Rattus norvegicus: one gene and its partners. The protein of the gene in region 3 interacts with the protein of the main gene of each other region in a pairwise test. Links are inferred from orthologs where the notes say so. Each region holds a gene or a part of one and is shown on either strand. Other genes may lie near its edges.

Region 1 (4,968 bases), on a different chromosome or scaffold from region 3:
TTTCTCTCTGTACAAACTCTGGCTGTCCTGGAACTCACTCTGTAGACCAGGTTGGCCTCTTCGAACTCAGACGTCCCCCTGCCTCTGCTTCCTGAGTGCTGGAATTAAAGGCCTGTACCATTACTGCCCAACAGGAAGAGTCTTAATGGAGGACTGTTTAGATTGGATGGCTAAGACTCTTTCTCATTGGGAATGGTTTCAGAAGGAAGTGGGTTTTAACTTTGTGAGGTTGGTGTCACCTCTAGTCTTGTTGAGGTGATATTGTGTTCTATAGTAAATGAAATTAGTTCTCTTATGAGTCTTGATAGGCTGTTTGTCAACATTGGACTCCAATCACTTCCAGGATTAGAAGACAACTTTGACTGTGTTGTTCTTCAAGGTTGTCAGATAACTACTTCCTCCCTGGTAGTTTGTCTTGTTGCCGTGTCTTCAGCTTGACCTGGCCTTTCATTGTCCGGCAGCTATACCCTCCCTACCATGGTATACCTTCCCCAACACAGTATACCCTCACCCACATGGTGCACCCTCCCCCACATGGTATAACCTCCCCCACATGGTACACCCTCCCCCACATGGTGTACCCTCCCCAACACAGTACACCCTCCCCCACGTGGTGTACCCTCCCTACCACACCAGGTACAGTCTCCCTCCACCTGAACTTTTTTCTTTTCTTTCTGGTAGTGTTAGGGATCGAGCCCAGGACCTTGTGCACACTGAATAAAAGCTCTATCACTGAGACACATACATAGATCCCCAGCCATCTAAGACTTGTTCAAAGTTAACACCATTAAAAAGTTCTTGAACACCCTAACCTCTCCATTCTCAGCTCCACCTTCTGTAGGGAGAGTTTACAGGTGGATGTATTTGCACACAATGAAAGAATAACAGAAGTCAAGGTTTGCCAACAATACAGACTAAATACTTTATTAGGTTCCAAAATGAGAAAATGGTAGCGTTCACCTATTTTAGTATAAATCTACCACCCTCCGCAAAGAGCCTGCCTTAGCATCTACAGCGCCCCAGTCGTGGTAGCGCCGGTACTCTTGAGGCCTCAGCAGATACTGCCGGCCTCGGTAGTTAGACATCTCATAGAGGACCCAGCAGCCCTCTAGCACGTGCAGCGAGCGCACCTCACTGAGGTGGAAGCGGTCCTGGATGCAGGAGCAGTCTTCACTCAGCTCCATCATGACGCCTTTGTGATCTTCTTTCTCATACAGACGCATCCTGTGGGAACCTGTCTGCTTGGGTCACACAAAGAAAGATGAGAAAAGAGCAGTTGAGTCTCTTCCAGAACTCACCCAAGCTAAACAACGGGTGAGGCAGGGGGCTGTTGGAGTAAGATCTGAGCCTGCGAGATTTTGGAGAGCTATTCATGGATGGGTCTCCTGCTCGCATTAGAGACGCCCAGGTTTCTTTTCATTTAGAACAGTGGTTCTCAATCTATAGGTCCAATGACCTGTTTACAGTGATGGCTTAAGACCATCGGAAAACACGGGTATCTATATTATGATACACGACAGTAGCAAAATTACAGTTAGGAAGTAGCAACAAAAGGAATTTTATGGCTAGGGGTCACCACAACATAAGGAACTTTTTTAAACGGTTGTGGCATTAGGAGAGTTGAGAACCCACTGATCTAGGAGGTGGGACTTATAAGATATTACAAGTGAATTTGAGCATATCAAAAATTAAAATATCTTAATTCACAATTTCTTATATTCATTCTAAGCTGTATGTTGGAGGGTATACAAATACATATTTTAACTAGTATTTTTTTAGTTATATATATTTTTATACATAAAAATATATAATTTTTATATATAAAATAGGATTTTTTATTTATATATATTTTTGTTTTTTGAGAATTTCATATCATTTCCATCTGTCCCATTCTGTTTATTTTATAACCTAGATTACCATCAAACTTAAAATACTTTTGTCTCAGCTTCCTGGACCCTAGGAATCCAGGCTATCACTATGCCTGGCTAAAGTGGAGTTCTGAAAAATCACACACTTCTGTGGAAAGTTAATTTAAATAACCGCTTATAATGAGAACTGAGCCGATCTTCAAAACTAAGGAAAATTATCATTTGAGTTCTGCCCGTACAGTTTCTGATCTCCGTACTTTTCAATGTTTTCTACTCCACAATAAAGTTTAATTAACTCCCTTACCAGGAATCCCTTTATTAAATACATAAAAATCAATCTGATGAGTGTAATTACCCTCTCATTCCCAACTAGTTTTGTTTTATATCCCTGCATAAGATTACATTCGTTGGGACAACTTTTGATTAATCTAATGGTAGCAAAGAAAATTAAAAAAAAACAAAACAAAAAACAACTGGACCTTCTGAAAGTGGATTCTTCCTTATAATTCTGTTTTCCTGCCTGTATTCTCTTAGACTTAGGCAGGCATTTGAGGACCACTTAACACTTAGATACTCAGAAAAAACAAACAAACAAACAGACAGACAGACAGACAGACAAACAAACCCTATTCTCTGGATCAGTAAAACAGTGAGGACCCCTCGGCAGCAAGAAATGAAATCAAACAGGACTCACATGGGGGATGAGGCGGCAGGAGCGAATGGAGTCGCTGAAACCCATCCACTGCTGGTAGTCAGGGTAGTCCCCGCGTCGCAGGAAGTACTGGTGGCCCTGGTAGTTGGGTCGCTCATAGAGCATCCAGCAGCCACTGTCCACGCGGACGGAGTTGCAGCGGCTGAAGTAGGTCTGCAGGTTGGGGCAGTCGCTGCTGCACTCATAGCAGCGGCCCTGGAAGCCTCGGTCCTCGTAGAAGGTGATCTGTAAAGGAAGAGCAATTCTGAATGAGATCTTTTGCTCCTTGGGTCAAGGCGGTTCAGTCTGACTTTTCGTTTAGTTTGCGTTCTGCTCACCTTCCCCATGGCTGGCTGACCCGTGGTGAGTTCAGTGTCCAGGCAGAGCGGGGCCGGTCTATATAGCAGGAGGGTTGTTGCTGTGTTAGCGGAACTGCACAAAAGGGGCCCTCCGGGCTGAGGGAATTTCATGGATGGCTTTTACGGGCTGCATTCAGTGGCGGTGACTGTAGATTCGCCTGGTTCTCTAGTGTGTTCCAACGCTGCCCTGGATGAGCTAGCTGGTCAGAGTTGCTTTATTCCGATTCTTACCGTTTTTTAAATTTATCAGCACATCAGCCTGAACTTTTGACCTGAAGTCCACGTCCCTACATTTTGATTCCATTATACTTGGTAAATCTGGGAGGAATCTGCGCATTCGTAGAAGTATCCCCAGAATTGAGAATGCTGGAATTCTTCGAATACTGCAGCGACTAGTGCAACAGAGACCAGGCGATCTTATTCCTCTTCCCCCTGCTTTTCTTTACAGGGTTTGCTTGTTCAGTACAGGACACAAACCTAGATTTGGATCTTGGCTTTTCCAGGCTATGTTGAGCTGATACTCTAGGACCTAAGCTAGCTTCCACCTTGGTGGTTTCACAGTACGTGAGTCAAAATCCGTCCCTAGTAACCAGCTTGAGTTAAGAACAAAGGAAAAAATTTCTATGGTTGTGAGGCCCAAGACCGTCAAAGATGTACGAAAGTACGAATTACTTGCTTCCAAGGCCAGGGAAGACGTATACCTCCTGTGTCAGAGTCACCTGATCCAGCGCCTCTGCCTAGGACCTGCTATTCAGCTGTTAGATATAAACAGTCTTAATAAGTCCCCTCAGACAAGGTTATTCAAAGTGATTTTGTTTGAACAAAGACAAACCTACAGCCACCCAGAGGCTGCTGAGCACTGTACTGTCCTTGTGGGCCCAAATGACTAACCGTCACTTTAAAATACTTTTTAGCTATTTGTTTATCAAATACAATGTCTCATAGATGCCAGCAGAGCCTTGCTAATAAACACACATACACACACACTCACACACACACACACTTACACACACACACTCACACACATCACGTACACACCACACACACTCACACATATCACATACACACAACACACACACTCACACACATCACATACTCATACATACACACTCACATATATCACATACACACCACACACACACTCACACACACACACACACAGACAACACTAATCAGACTTAGTGGATTAGGACAAACACACACACACTCACACACACACACACTCACACACTCACACACATCACGTACACACCACACACACTCACACACATCACATACTCATACATACACACTCACATATATCACATACACACCACACACACACTCACACACTCACACACATCACACACACTCACACACTCACACACATCACATACACACCACACACACCACACACTCACACATACACACACACATCACACACTCACACATACACACTCATACATATCACATACACACCACACACACTCACACACATCACATACTCATACATACACACTCACATATATCACATACACACCACACACACTCACACACATCACATACTCATACATACACACTCACATATATCACATACACACCACACACACTCACACACACACATCACACACACACTCACACACACACTCACACATACACACACATTACACACTCACATACACACTCACACATATCACATACACACCACACACACTCACACACCACACACACTCACACATACACACTCACACATATATCACATTCATACATACACACACACCACACACAAATGTAGACACCATGAACACACATACACACACACACCACACACACATACATCACACCCACACATCCATACACATCACACACATACACACATACACACACACCACACACACACACAAGCACACACATACATCACACACACATCCATACACACCACACACACACACACACACACATATCACACCACCCTCCAAGCCCAGCACCAAACTGTTACACTGTTACTTCTTTATTTACAGTTTTGTCCCCCACCCCCAGCCCCCGCGCCCTAGGGTCTCATTAAGCAAGC
Region 2 (4,648 bases), on a different chromosome or scaffold from region 3:
CAGCTCAGGGGGCAGCGCACTTGTCTAGAATGTATAAGGCTCTGACTTTACTCTCCAGCAACACAGCTTGGTACTCTAGCGCTTGGGGTGAGAGGGTCAGAAGCTTAAGGTCACCCTCAGCTTCTCGGAGAGTTCCGGGGCAACATGAGCTAGAGAGTATATGATAATTGTGGGAGAGTACAGTAAACAAACTATGTGTAAACATGGTAATTAAAAATAGGACGGCAGGGGTTGGGGATTTAGCTCAGTGGTAGAGCGCTTGCCTAGGAAGCGCAAGGCCCTGGGTTCGGTCCCCAGCTCCAAAAAAAAAAAAAAAAAAAAAAATAGGACGGCTTATGTATGCTGTACCAGGAGAAGTTAGGGAGCAAGGCCAAAACGCCAGGACCCCCTTAGGGTTCATCAGTATAGGGTTCATAGGGGAATAAGTAGAAACCTTCCTCATAAAGAGCTCTGGCCAATATGAGAGGAACCTTCAGAGAAAGACACATACATCACGTCCTTATAGTCGTGGGTCGGTAGAAAGAGTAGGCTCCACCAGGCATCCAGTGATCGGCTTGCACTGGATGGCCCACGTTCCTGTCCCATAGGCTGGTGACTGACTGGGAAGCCCATAGACACAGCATAGGCATGGAGCCCTTAAAGACATCAATATCCTCACAGAGACCCTCCCACGAGCCTCTGAGAGCATGCCACCGCCCACAGCCGGAGCTAAATGGACTCGGCTTTCTAGTAACCATTTACTCACCCACCCCGTGCGGTGTGATAATTCCTGCCAAATAAACGTGCCACGTGGGTTTCACTTATTTGAATAACTCTCCAGATGGATATGGAGACAACACAAGACACTAGCTCCAGATTATTATGTGTGCTCACAGAATGGCGTGAACTCAGGTCTGGGGACGTAGCTCTCCATTGGCACCCTGCTTGCCTGGCGTGCATGAGGCCCTGGGTTTGATCCCCGGCACCACATAAACTGGCCATGGTGATCTGTGCCTATAAGCCCAGCACTGAAGAGGTGGAGGCAGGGGGATTAAGAGTTTAAAGTCACCTTTTGCTATAGAATGCACGAGACCCCGTCCCAAAATGAAGTAAAATAAAACTAAACACGAACAATTATTGCTGTGAATTTCTGAAGAATAATAGAAGACCTAACCCGAATCCTTTGGGGGATAAAACGTTCAGCAGGACCTTCAGAGGCCACCACAGAGGTAAAGATGGCTAAGTTCCAAATCAGGATACCCTTCCCCTTACAGCTTCTCTGTAAATGTATCGGTACATGAACGGGGAAAGGATGATGGCTAAAGGATGCAGTGTTGATAGCAAGGCCCTGGCTGGCATTGAAGAAAATGCAGGACCCATGTCCTGAAAATCCATCACAGCATCGTTAGAAAGTATAAAGTTCCACAGGCACGGAAAGGATGGCCGTATACACCATAGAGAACTCAGCAAAGCTTGATTCTGAGTGGGTCTGTAAGGTAGGGGAGTGACCTGAACGTCCAATGGGCCACTTATATGATGACCTTGTTTCAAGGTCAAATCACAAGCCTGAGATTGTATTTCATCTGCCAAGTCGGAGTTGCTGTCTCCAGGCCTCACTCGGTTCCTTGGAAAAGCAGGTCTCAGTAAAAGCCACATACTATTATTATCCTCAGGAGTAAAGCCAAGAAGAGAGCACTCAGTTCCCACCCTTAGCTCCAAGCAGAGCCCAAGCATGCAGGGCGATAGGCTTTAGCTAAGAGCCGGGCCCAGCCAATCCCTGGGGCATTGGTGGGAAAGCTTTTAATTTGAGGACACCAGCTTTGTGGGGGCCCGGGGTGTACCCATCATTTGACAGTTGCCAGACCAGCTCACGGCAGAGCCCCACACTTTGCATAAACATGTGCAGCCAAAGGGTATCTGGAGCTGCAGTAGAATTACATGTGAGAGATGGGGTTGCCCGCCCTTTCCCCTGAGGCTCCCACTTTCCTTCAAAGCCCACCGCTCGCTGATTCCCTGCCTCATAACATCTCACATTCTGTAGCATCACACATCATCAGTGCCCACACGTTTCGGGTAGACTGCTGTGTTCCAGAAGTATATGTACATGCTGGTTCCCGTAAGCCCCAGGCTCTGAGCGCAACAACCCGTCAGGCTGAATGTAGAAAGTGTCTAGTAAATACCATTTGGCTAAACACTGAAACTTTCCCTTTTCACTAGACAACCAAGAGCCTTGTCTGAAGCCATCTATGACCAGAGGGCTTAACAGTTCCTACAGTTCTGAGTAAAGTGTTTGCACATGGGGCAGTGGTCCCCACCCGGGGACAGAGATTGACTTCCTGGGGGTTGTGGGAACTGGGCCCTCAATACAGAGGGATGAAGGGGGGAAAAAAACAAACTTTGGAAGCCTTTTTCTCAAGAGGTGTCTACATATTGCAAGAACCCAGAGATGCTTTTCTTTTTCTCCAGCCCCCATCCCGCTCCCCCACGGTCAACGAGATGTGCTCTGAGGGTTACAGGGCTGAGAAGGTTGCCTAACTCTCTTGCCTGGGATATAGTTAAAGGAGAAATAGAAACACACTGTCAGGTACAGCTCGGAAAGGTTCTGTGGTGGAAATCTACAACCCGGAACTGAAAATACGCCCTCACCTGTAACCAGACATTCAGTCTGACTCAGAGGCTTGGAAATTAGTAGCCAAAACTACACAGGCAGGTGGGTCAGGAAATTTCTGTACCTCCCACCTGGCCACAGGGGCTCTCAACTGCCTTTCTCAGTCCCTCTCCAGGAAAGGAAGGTTAGAAGAGCCTTTTCCCTTAGGCCCCTCATCACCCCCTGCAGGCCAACAAGTGAGGTCTGAGGTGTTGACACAAAACAAAGGGATTCCTGAGTCCGCCAAGCATGTCTGGTATCTGAAGACTTGCTTCCAATCTTAGCTTGCCTCTTGGCTTCTTCTTGACTACTCTCCTCCCATCAAATGGCTCCCAGCCCAGTTCTTCTATTCGTTTCATTCTTTACAAAATAATTGTCCCTGAAACGGCTCTGAGGAACAAGCAGCCGGAGTAAGTCTAGACTCAGGTCAGAACTAGCCCAGCGTGAAGGCACAGGATATGTCAGAAGATCAGAAACATTAGGAGTAGAGATCCAAGCCCCCATACACGGCAGGCCTGGGGTCTCAGTATAACTGGGCATTCCCTTGGGATACAGCAAAAAATGAACAAGGTAATGTGTGCCAAGTGCTTTGCACTTCATGCTCCTTCCTTCTTGCCTAGGCTAGCTGCTTTACACAATACCCTCAGCCTCAACACATTCCCTCACACATAGTCTCTCCTCCAAATTTGCCATCTAGGGACTCTCTGATGCTTGCAAACCTGAGGTAACCAAAGTGCTCCTACTGACTGGGATGCTATCCCTCCACCTCGCTGTCACAGTGAAGCTTCACCACACTGGCCAAGAGGGAGAGAAAAGAAAGCCTTCTATTCTGTTCTCGCTGTCCTCCATGTTTATCCCCACAAGACAGGATGATCCCTAGGCCGCAGCCTCTCTCAGCATCTCTAAGAGGCTGTCCTCTTCAGCTCTGTGCAATTTAAACTTGAACTCTGACTCAGCAGGTCAATTATCACCCTGAGATGACAGATAGCCATTCTCCTATCAGACCACCCTTCCCTATCAGCTGCCTCACCTCATGGCTGCATTTTTCCTGGGAAAAGCCTGGCTGGGGAGAGCAGTCTGCTGTTGTTGGGGAAGATCAGAAAGGCTAGCTAGTGATGTCAGTCACTGTTTGCTGAACCCCTAGGTGTCCCGGCACTGTAAATGCCATCAACTCACCCTCCCCCATCACCTTGACTCTTTGTCATACTCCTCTAGGATGCACACCATGGTTGCTTCCTCTGACAAATGGAGAGACTGAAGCTCGCTGTCAGTCAAGGACTTTCTCAAGGTGACCCAGCTGTTACAGGCAATACCTGGACCCTCAGACTCTTACAGGTGATACTGGGATTCCTCAAACCAAGCCTACTTCCAGTCTCGGCAGAAGTCACAAGGCTCCAAGAAGTTTGAGCTCACCTGATAGGAAAGGCCATCCTTGCGGGGGCTGAGGCCAATCTCTTCCATGGAGGGAGCATTCATCATCACCTCAGTCATCTCAGCCGATCTCAGATAGTCAGAGCTGGAAGGAGATCCACACTAGAAGTCAGTGCATGCTCACACGGGCCCTAAGATCCGGGGATTGGCTAAAGGCAAGATGAGAAATGCTCAAACAGTTCACAGCGAAGCAAGCTCACAGGAGCAAAAAACCAGCAGGCCTACAGCACTGTGGCTCACTGGCCTCAAGAGGCAAAGCCTGCCCTCTGCAACTTCACACACACACTTGCACACACACACACACACACACACACACACACACACACACACCCCAACCCCTTCACAAAGCAAATTGAATTTTCTTTTAAACAAACTAGAAACACAACGGTGGCAGCACGGGCGGGGGTGGGGTTGGGGGAGTGCTGCGTCTGTGTGTCCACATGAAAATAATGCAGCCAGGTTTCCCTTCACCCATTAAAAATGAGAGTAATCTTGCCCATGGATTTCCAGTGGGAACTGCACAGTAGGATTACATAATAACAATAGCAGTCCAGCCTCCGGGAGACAAAGTCTAATCATCTAATCATGGTA
Region 3 (5,436 bases):
GGAATTTAGACTCCCACTTTGGCATTGAGTATGTCTGTATCTTTTTTTTTTTTCTTTTTTCTTTTTTTCAGGGCTGGGGACCGAACCCAGGACCTTGCGCTTCCTAGGCAAACGCTCTACCACTGAGCCAAATCCCCAACCCCGAGTATGTCTGTATCTTATAGGAAGCCCATAAATTGTTCTAATTGCTCAGGAATGTCTCAGAATGTTTCTAGTATAATATTGCTGATATTATATAAGGTGACCCTATCAGTGACACTGTGGTCCAGTCCTAAATCATGAGCAAAACCGAGGTATTGATTTTTGTTTTTTGTTTTGTTTGAGATAAGTAGGGTTTCTCTGTTGAGCTCCTGCTCTCCTGGAACTCATTCTGTAGTCTAAGCTGGCCTCTAACTTAGATCTGTCTACCTCTGCCTCCCAAATGTTGGGATTAAAGGCATGCACCACCACGGCACAGCTGAGTTATTTTTTGTTAAGATTTTTTTAATTTTATGTATGAGCACTCTATCTGCATGTACACCTGCATGCCAGAAGAGGGCATTGGATCCCATTACAGATGGTTGTGAGCCACCATGTGGTTGCTGGGAATTGTATGCAGGACCTCTGGAAGAGCGGTCAGTGCTTTTAACTGCTGAGCCATCTCTCCAGGCCCTAAGTCATTAATTTTTTTTTCTTTTCTTTTTTTCGGAGCTGGGGACTGAACCCAGGGCCTTGCGCTTGCTAGGCAAACGCTCTACCGCTGAGCTAAATCCCCAACCCCAAGTCATTAATTTTTTTTTTTTTGGTTCTTTTTTTTCGGAGCTGGGGACCGAACCCAGGACCTTGCGCTTCCTAGGTAAGCGCTCTACCACTGAGCTAAATCCCCAGCCCCCCAAGTCATTAATTTTTAAGAAGCAATCATAACACCTTTTTAGGAAGTCAAGAAAAAAAAATGCTAAAAATGCAAGAGGAATTGTGGATGCTAATCCTGTTACCTATTGAATCCCAAGTACCCCAAGCATCCACACAAACAAATCTCAATTAACTTCCTCACAGCCATAAGCCTGAAGCTCTGAAAAGCAGACAAACCAAGTAGCATAGCATTAAACTGAGCAGAAGAGGCATGGAATCCTGAACATTCAAAAGCCACAGATTTTATTGCCTTCGACTCCGTGGTGACTGTCATTTCGCAGAGCCATTATGTACAGCACACTGTGCCTAGAGCAATGGCTGCCAGTTTGGGGTACAGAAAGTACCCAAGGAGTGAGTTTGTTTGTTTGTTTGTTTAAAGGTTGATGCCTGAGCTATGTCCCTAAAACTTCAGATTCAATTGGCCTAGGATGTGCTGAGGGTTGGGAATGTTGAGAATTCTTCTGCTATTCTGACGTCACTGGACAAGACAAGGCAATCAAAAGGAACATCCAGGGGAAAGTTCTCTCAGCACAGCCACAACACTAACAGCAGATCTAGCCCTAACTTGTTTCCCAGCCATTGATCTATAACTCCTGATCTAGTCTTATGTTTGGGGACTGGAATTCTGCCAGCCTCAGAGGCTGGTGGCGGCAGTCCCTGGCATCCAGCAGGGCACTAAATGAATTCACAAGAGAAGGCAGAAAGGTCCACACACCTGGCGCTCTTCGTGCTTGCCGTGCACCTCAATCACGTCTCCCAGAACCTTGACTTTGAGTTCCTCTGGAGAGAAGTGCTTCACGTCCAGGTTCACAGAGAACCTGTCCTTCTCCATACGCATCTAGAATAACAAGGGGGCGGAGGAGAAAAGATGGTAGAATGTCCATTAAGCTGGAGAAGGCTCATCGTCCAGGAGATTTACTTCCTGCCCTGGTAATCCATCCTCTACCTGGCTGCTGGGGGAAAAATCCTCTTATGACTAGTGACACTGGTATATGTGAGCCACCATGGTGATACCCAAAAGACACCTCTTAGTCATCCATCAGTCCCAAACTTTACCGAGAGGCACAGGGAAGAAGACGGGTCAGTAGGAGACTAGTCACAAGAATGGGTCTGGGGATGGCATCTGCTGCCTCTCTACCCAGTGCTGGCTTTGTCATTTGTCTATAAAACAAAAGCCCCCTTTTTCTTGTTCAGTTGCCTGCCAAGTTTCCAACCCACTCGATCTGGAATGTTCTGTCCTTCCAAAGCCCTTGCTCACTCAGCTCCTGTTTCCTCACACGCGAATATTTTTAAACCACAGTGTTATCTGTGACAACCTCTGTTAATCTTATCTCCCACGCTGCTGAGATAAGAAGTCAGGGCTTCCCAAGAGCGGTCCTCTTAAGGCATGGACTGAAGTCAATGCACTGTCTCAGCCCCGAGGAACCCGGAAAGTCATAGGCCAAGGAAGAGAGAGAGAGAGAGAGAGAGAGAGAGAGAGAGAGAGAGAGAGAGAATATTGATTGATGTATCCAGCTCCATCAAAAGGAAGTGGGGAGGAAAGAAGACAGGAAAAGCCCAGAATGAGTGGGTTTCTATCTGATCTCTACAGTTTGAGATGATAAAATCTGCCAGGACTGGGACTATTAAAGAGGTGGGTAAAGGAGTTGAAAGAGGAGAAAGAGGCACCATGCACAGAAAAATGGACCAGGAAACAGGAGCATCAAACAGAAACAGGTGCCCACAGGAAGAAGAAAACAGTAACCTCATTTCTCTGTACCTTTGCACACGCACATGCCTAAAATGACTTAGGCAGGGTGAAAGGGCAAAGGAATGGAGAGACCAGGAAGGATACGTATTCCTGCCCTGGCACAAGGGAGACTTACCTCTGAGAGCCCAGTGTCAATCCAGCTAGGTGCCCGCAGGAAGGAGGGTGGCCGAAGGTAGAAGGGGCTCAGGGAAGTGGCTGTAGAGAAGAGGTCAGACTCCAACAGGTGCTCTCCGAAGAACTGGTCAAAGAGGCGGCTTGGGGAGTGGAAAGGAAAGAAGGGACGCCGGATCCAGGGGTGGTGGATGGCTATGTCCATGATGGCTAGATGAGTGTAGAGTCGGTTAGCCGGTCAACTCCTTCAGCCGCTGCTACAGCCTGCCCCTTATATATGCAGTCTTGTGAAGCTTCTGGAACGGTGATGTCAGGGGTTTTATTATCCCAGCTCCCCGACAGTTCATGGGGACTTGTGATCAGGGATTTGGCAGGGTGACACATACCCAGTACTCACTGAGCTAAGAAAAGAGAAACACGGGGCAGGGCTGAGCTGGCCGGTGACTTGTCACGGTCTTGTTTCACTAGCTCTCTGTCCACACCTAGTGGCACCCACCCACCCCATCCTTGTTCTCTGGAGCCAGGACAGGGTCTGGAATCCCAAGCAGCTGCTGGTGGGCCCCTCCTCCTCTCCAGTCTTGCATGCCAGGGGAATTGAGCCAGCAACTATCTTGGGCCTGGGCAGAGGCTGGAATCTTCCTGGGCTGAGCCCCAGGGACATTAACTCTTTGTGGAGTCCCAGAGGAGAGCTGTGACCACCAATATGTCAGAACTAGGTGTCTGACTGGAACCCCGAGTTGATCTAGGTTCAGAAGACCCTGACATTAAAAAGACAGAAAATGTTTCTTGTATTTTTGACGTTCTGTGGCTCATAGAACATTGTCTTTTTTTTTTTTTTTTTCTAAGTAATGTGCTCAGTGCCTGAGACTGATAAGGACAAAGGGTGATGTGGAATGTACAATTGGTGAAGGGCCCAACCAGGCCTCTCCTTGCCCTCCTGCAGCGCACCAGTTTCTCTTCCCAGCTTACTCTAGGACCAGGACCCTCAGCTGTTCTTCCAGGCCTATGCGACAGCTGAAGGGTATACAGAGGAGGGGACTTAGGGGGTCCAGGCTGCGCTGATCACACCCTCATAGCTGCACTCTAGACTTAGGCTCCCACCCCTCCCCCATCCCCCAGACGCTCTGCACTATTTTGGGTGGTGTAGACCCCGCCCCCACTCTGACTGAGTCCTGGCTCTCCCTCTGAAGCTGGAGGGGTCGCCTTGATCTTGTTGGGGCTACACTTGGGATCAGGGCTACTAGTCGCAACAGCAGTCATGTCGGGCCGCACAGTGCCACACGCCCACCCAGCCACTGCCGAGTACGAATTTGCCAACCCTAGCCGCCTGGGCGAGCAGCGCTTCGGAGAAGGTATGGCTCAGATGCTTCCTACCCCCACCTCCGGAAATTCTGGGCTCACTGCCCAGCTTCACTGGCCTCCACTCTACCTGGGGCTTAAGTGAACTCCTGAGGTGAGCCATCTCCCACCCCAGACTCCCCCCTCAAGCAAGACTCTCTCTGGTCTTGCTAACAGACTTCAGGACCAAACTTTAGATCGGCAGGGCTTTCGGTGTCCGGGCCTTGCACGCTTCAGAGTATTTTCTGGTTTTGCTTCTGTCCTCCAGTTCCAGCTCGCTTTTTCCGTAACCATCTCCTCTCCTTTCCCAGCCCCTCTACAGTTTCCCACCTGCTCTTCTAGCCCATATCTCCAGATATCGCCTTTCAGCCCTGTCTGTGCCCGCTGCATTCTTCCTCATCCTGCCTCTTGCCTTCTCTTTCTTTCTCTGCTCCCAGGCCTCCTGCCAGAAGAGATCCTGACCCCCACCCTCTACCATGGCTACTATGTTCGGCCCCGGGCCGCCAGAGCTGGGGAGGGCGGCAGGGCAGGGGCCTCAGAGCTCAGGCTCAGTGAAGGCAAGTTCCAGGCATTTCTGGATGTGAGCCACTTTACCCCAGATGAGGTGACCGTGAGGACTGTGGACAACCTGCTAGAGGTGTCTGCCCGACACCCCCAACGTCTGGACCGCCACGGCTTCGTGTCCCGAGAGTTCTGTCGCACCTATGTCCTGCCTGCAGATGTGGACCCCTGGCGGGTCAGAGCTGCTCTCTCCCATGATGGCATCCTTAACTTGGAGGCACCGCGGGGTGGCCGGCATCTGGACACGGAAGTCAATGAGGTCTACATCTCCCTGCTTCCTGCACCTCCTGACCCCGAGGAAGAGGAAGAGGTAGCCAGAGTTGAACCCTGACTGCCAGACCCAGAACCCGGTGAATCCCCTGTCTACCTCCCGTGGTGATTCCAGAAATCCACCACACCCCAGAGGGAGCAGCATTCCTGGGAGATGGGATAGGTGCATGGTCCACAGTGTATGGTTTGGTCCCTTGATGAATCGTAGCCTTCGATTTAATTCTGGGTGAGGCTAAATAAACCAAAATCTAGGGGCCTTGTTTGTGCTGCTCCTGTCTGTAACCTGGTAGACCGAATGGCGTCCGTGTGGGCAGAAAGTCATAGGCTGCTCTTCCCACTGTGAAATATGCCTATCGTCTCAGCATCCCCAGCTCACACTTGGATGCTGAGATCACACCCGGAAGCTGACACTGGCTCCAGATCAAATTCCTAGCCATAATTTTCTCACAATGCAACAAAAGAGAGGGTGATCCTGGGAGGGATAGGGGATAGGCCATCCAAACAGCCCAGAGGGC

What was found.
Region 1: the proteins of Cryab (region 3) and Crygc interact in binary tests that used the Homo sapiens proteins (3 or more experiments, as listed by UniProt). The link is inferred for Rattus norvegicus from reciprocal best matches to the Homo sapiens genes CRYAB and CRYGC.
Region 2: the proteins of Cryab (region 3) and Lbh interact in a two-hybrid assay, tested with the Homo sapiens proteins (2 studies listed by BioGRID, with this or other methods). The link is inferred for Rattus norvegicus from reciprocal best matches to the Homo sapiens genes CRYAB and LBH.

What each region holds. Positions count from the first base shown.
Region 1 is NC_086027.1:73,944,435-73,949,402, forward strand, and holds Crygc (gamma-crystallin C), read right to left. Parts: upstream 2,914-4,968; 5' UTR 2,907-2,913; coding exon 2,898-2,906; intron 2,806-2,897; coding exon 2,563-2,805; intron 1,242-2,562; coding exon 966-1,241; 3' UTR 898-965; downstream 1-897. UniProt on the Homo sapiens protein: Crystallins are the dominant structural components of the vertebrate eye lens.
Region 2 is NC_086024.1:28,337,687-28,342,334, forward strand, and holds part of Lbh (protein LBH), read right to left. Parts: intron 4,143-4,648; coding exon 4,040-4,142; intron 1-4,039. UniProt on the Homo sapiens protein: Transcriptional activator which may act in mitogen-activated protein kinase signaling pathway.
Region 3 is NC_086026.1:59,989,381-59,994,816, reverse strand, and holds the start of Cryab (alpha-crystallin B chain), read right to left. Parts: upstream 3,287-5,436; 5' UTR 2,958-3,286; coding exon 2,757-2,957; intron 1,730-2,756; coding exon 1,607-1,729; intron 1-1,606. Other genes in the region: Hspb2 (heat shock protein beta-2), read left to right, coding at 4,011-4,104, 4,528-4,982. UniProt on the Homo sapiens protein: May contribute to the transparency and refractive index of the lens. Has chaperone-like activity, preventing aggregation of various proteins under a wide range of stress conditions.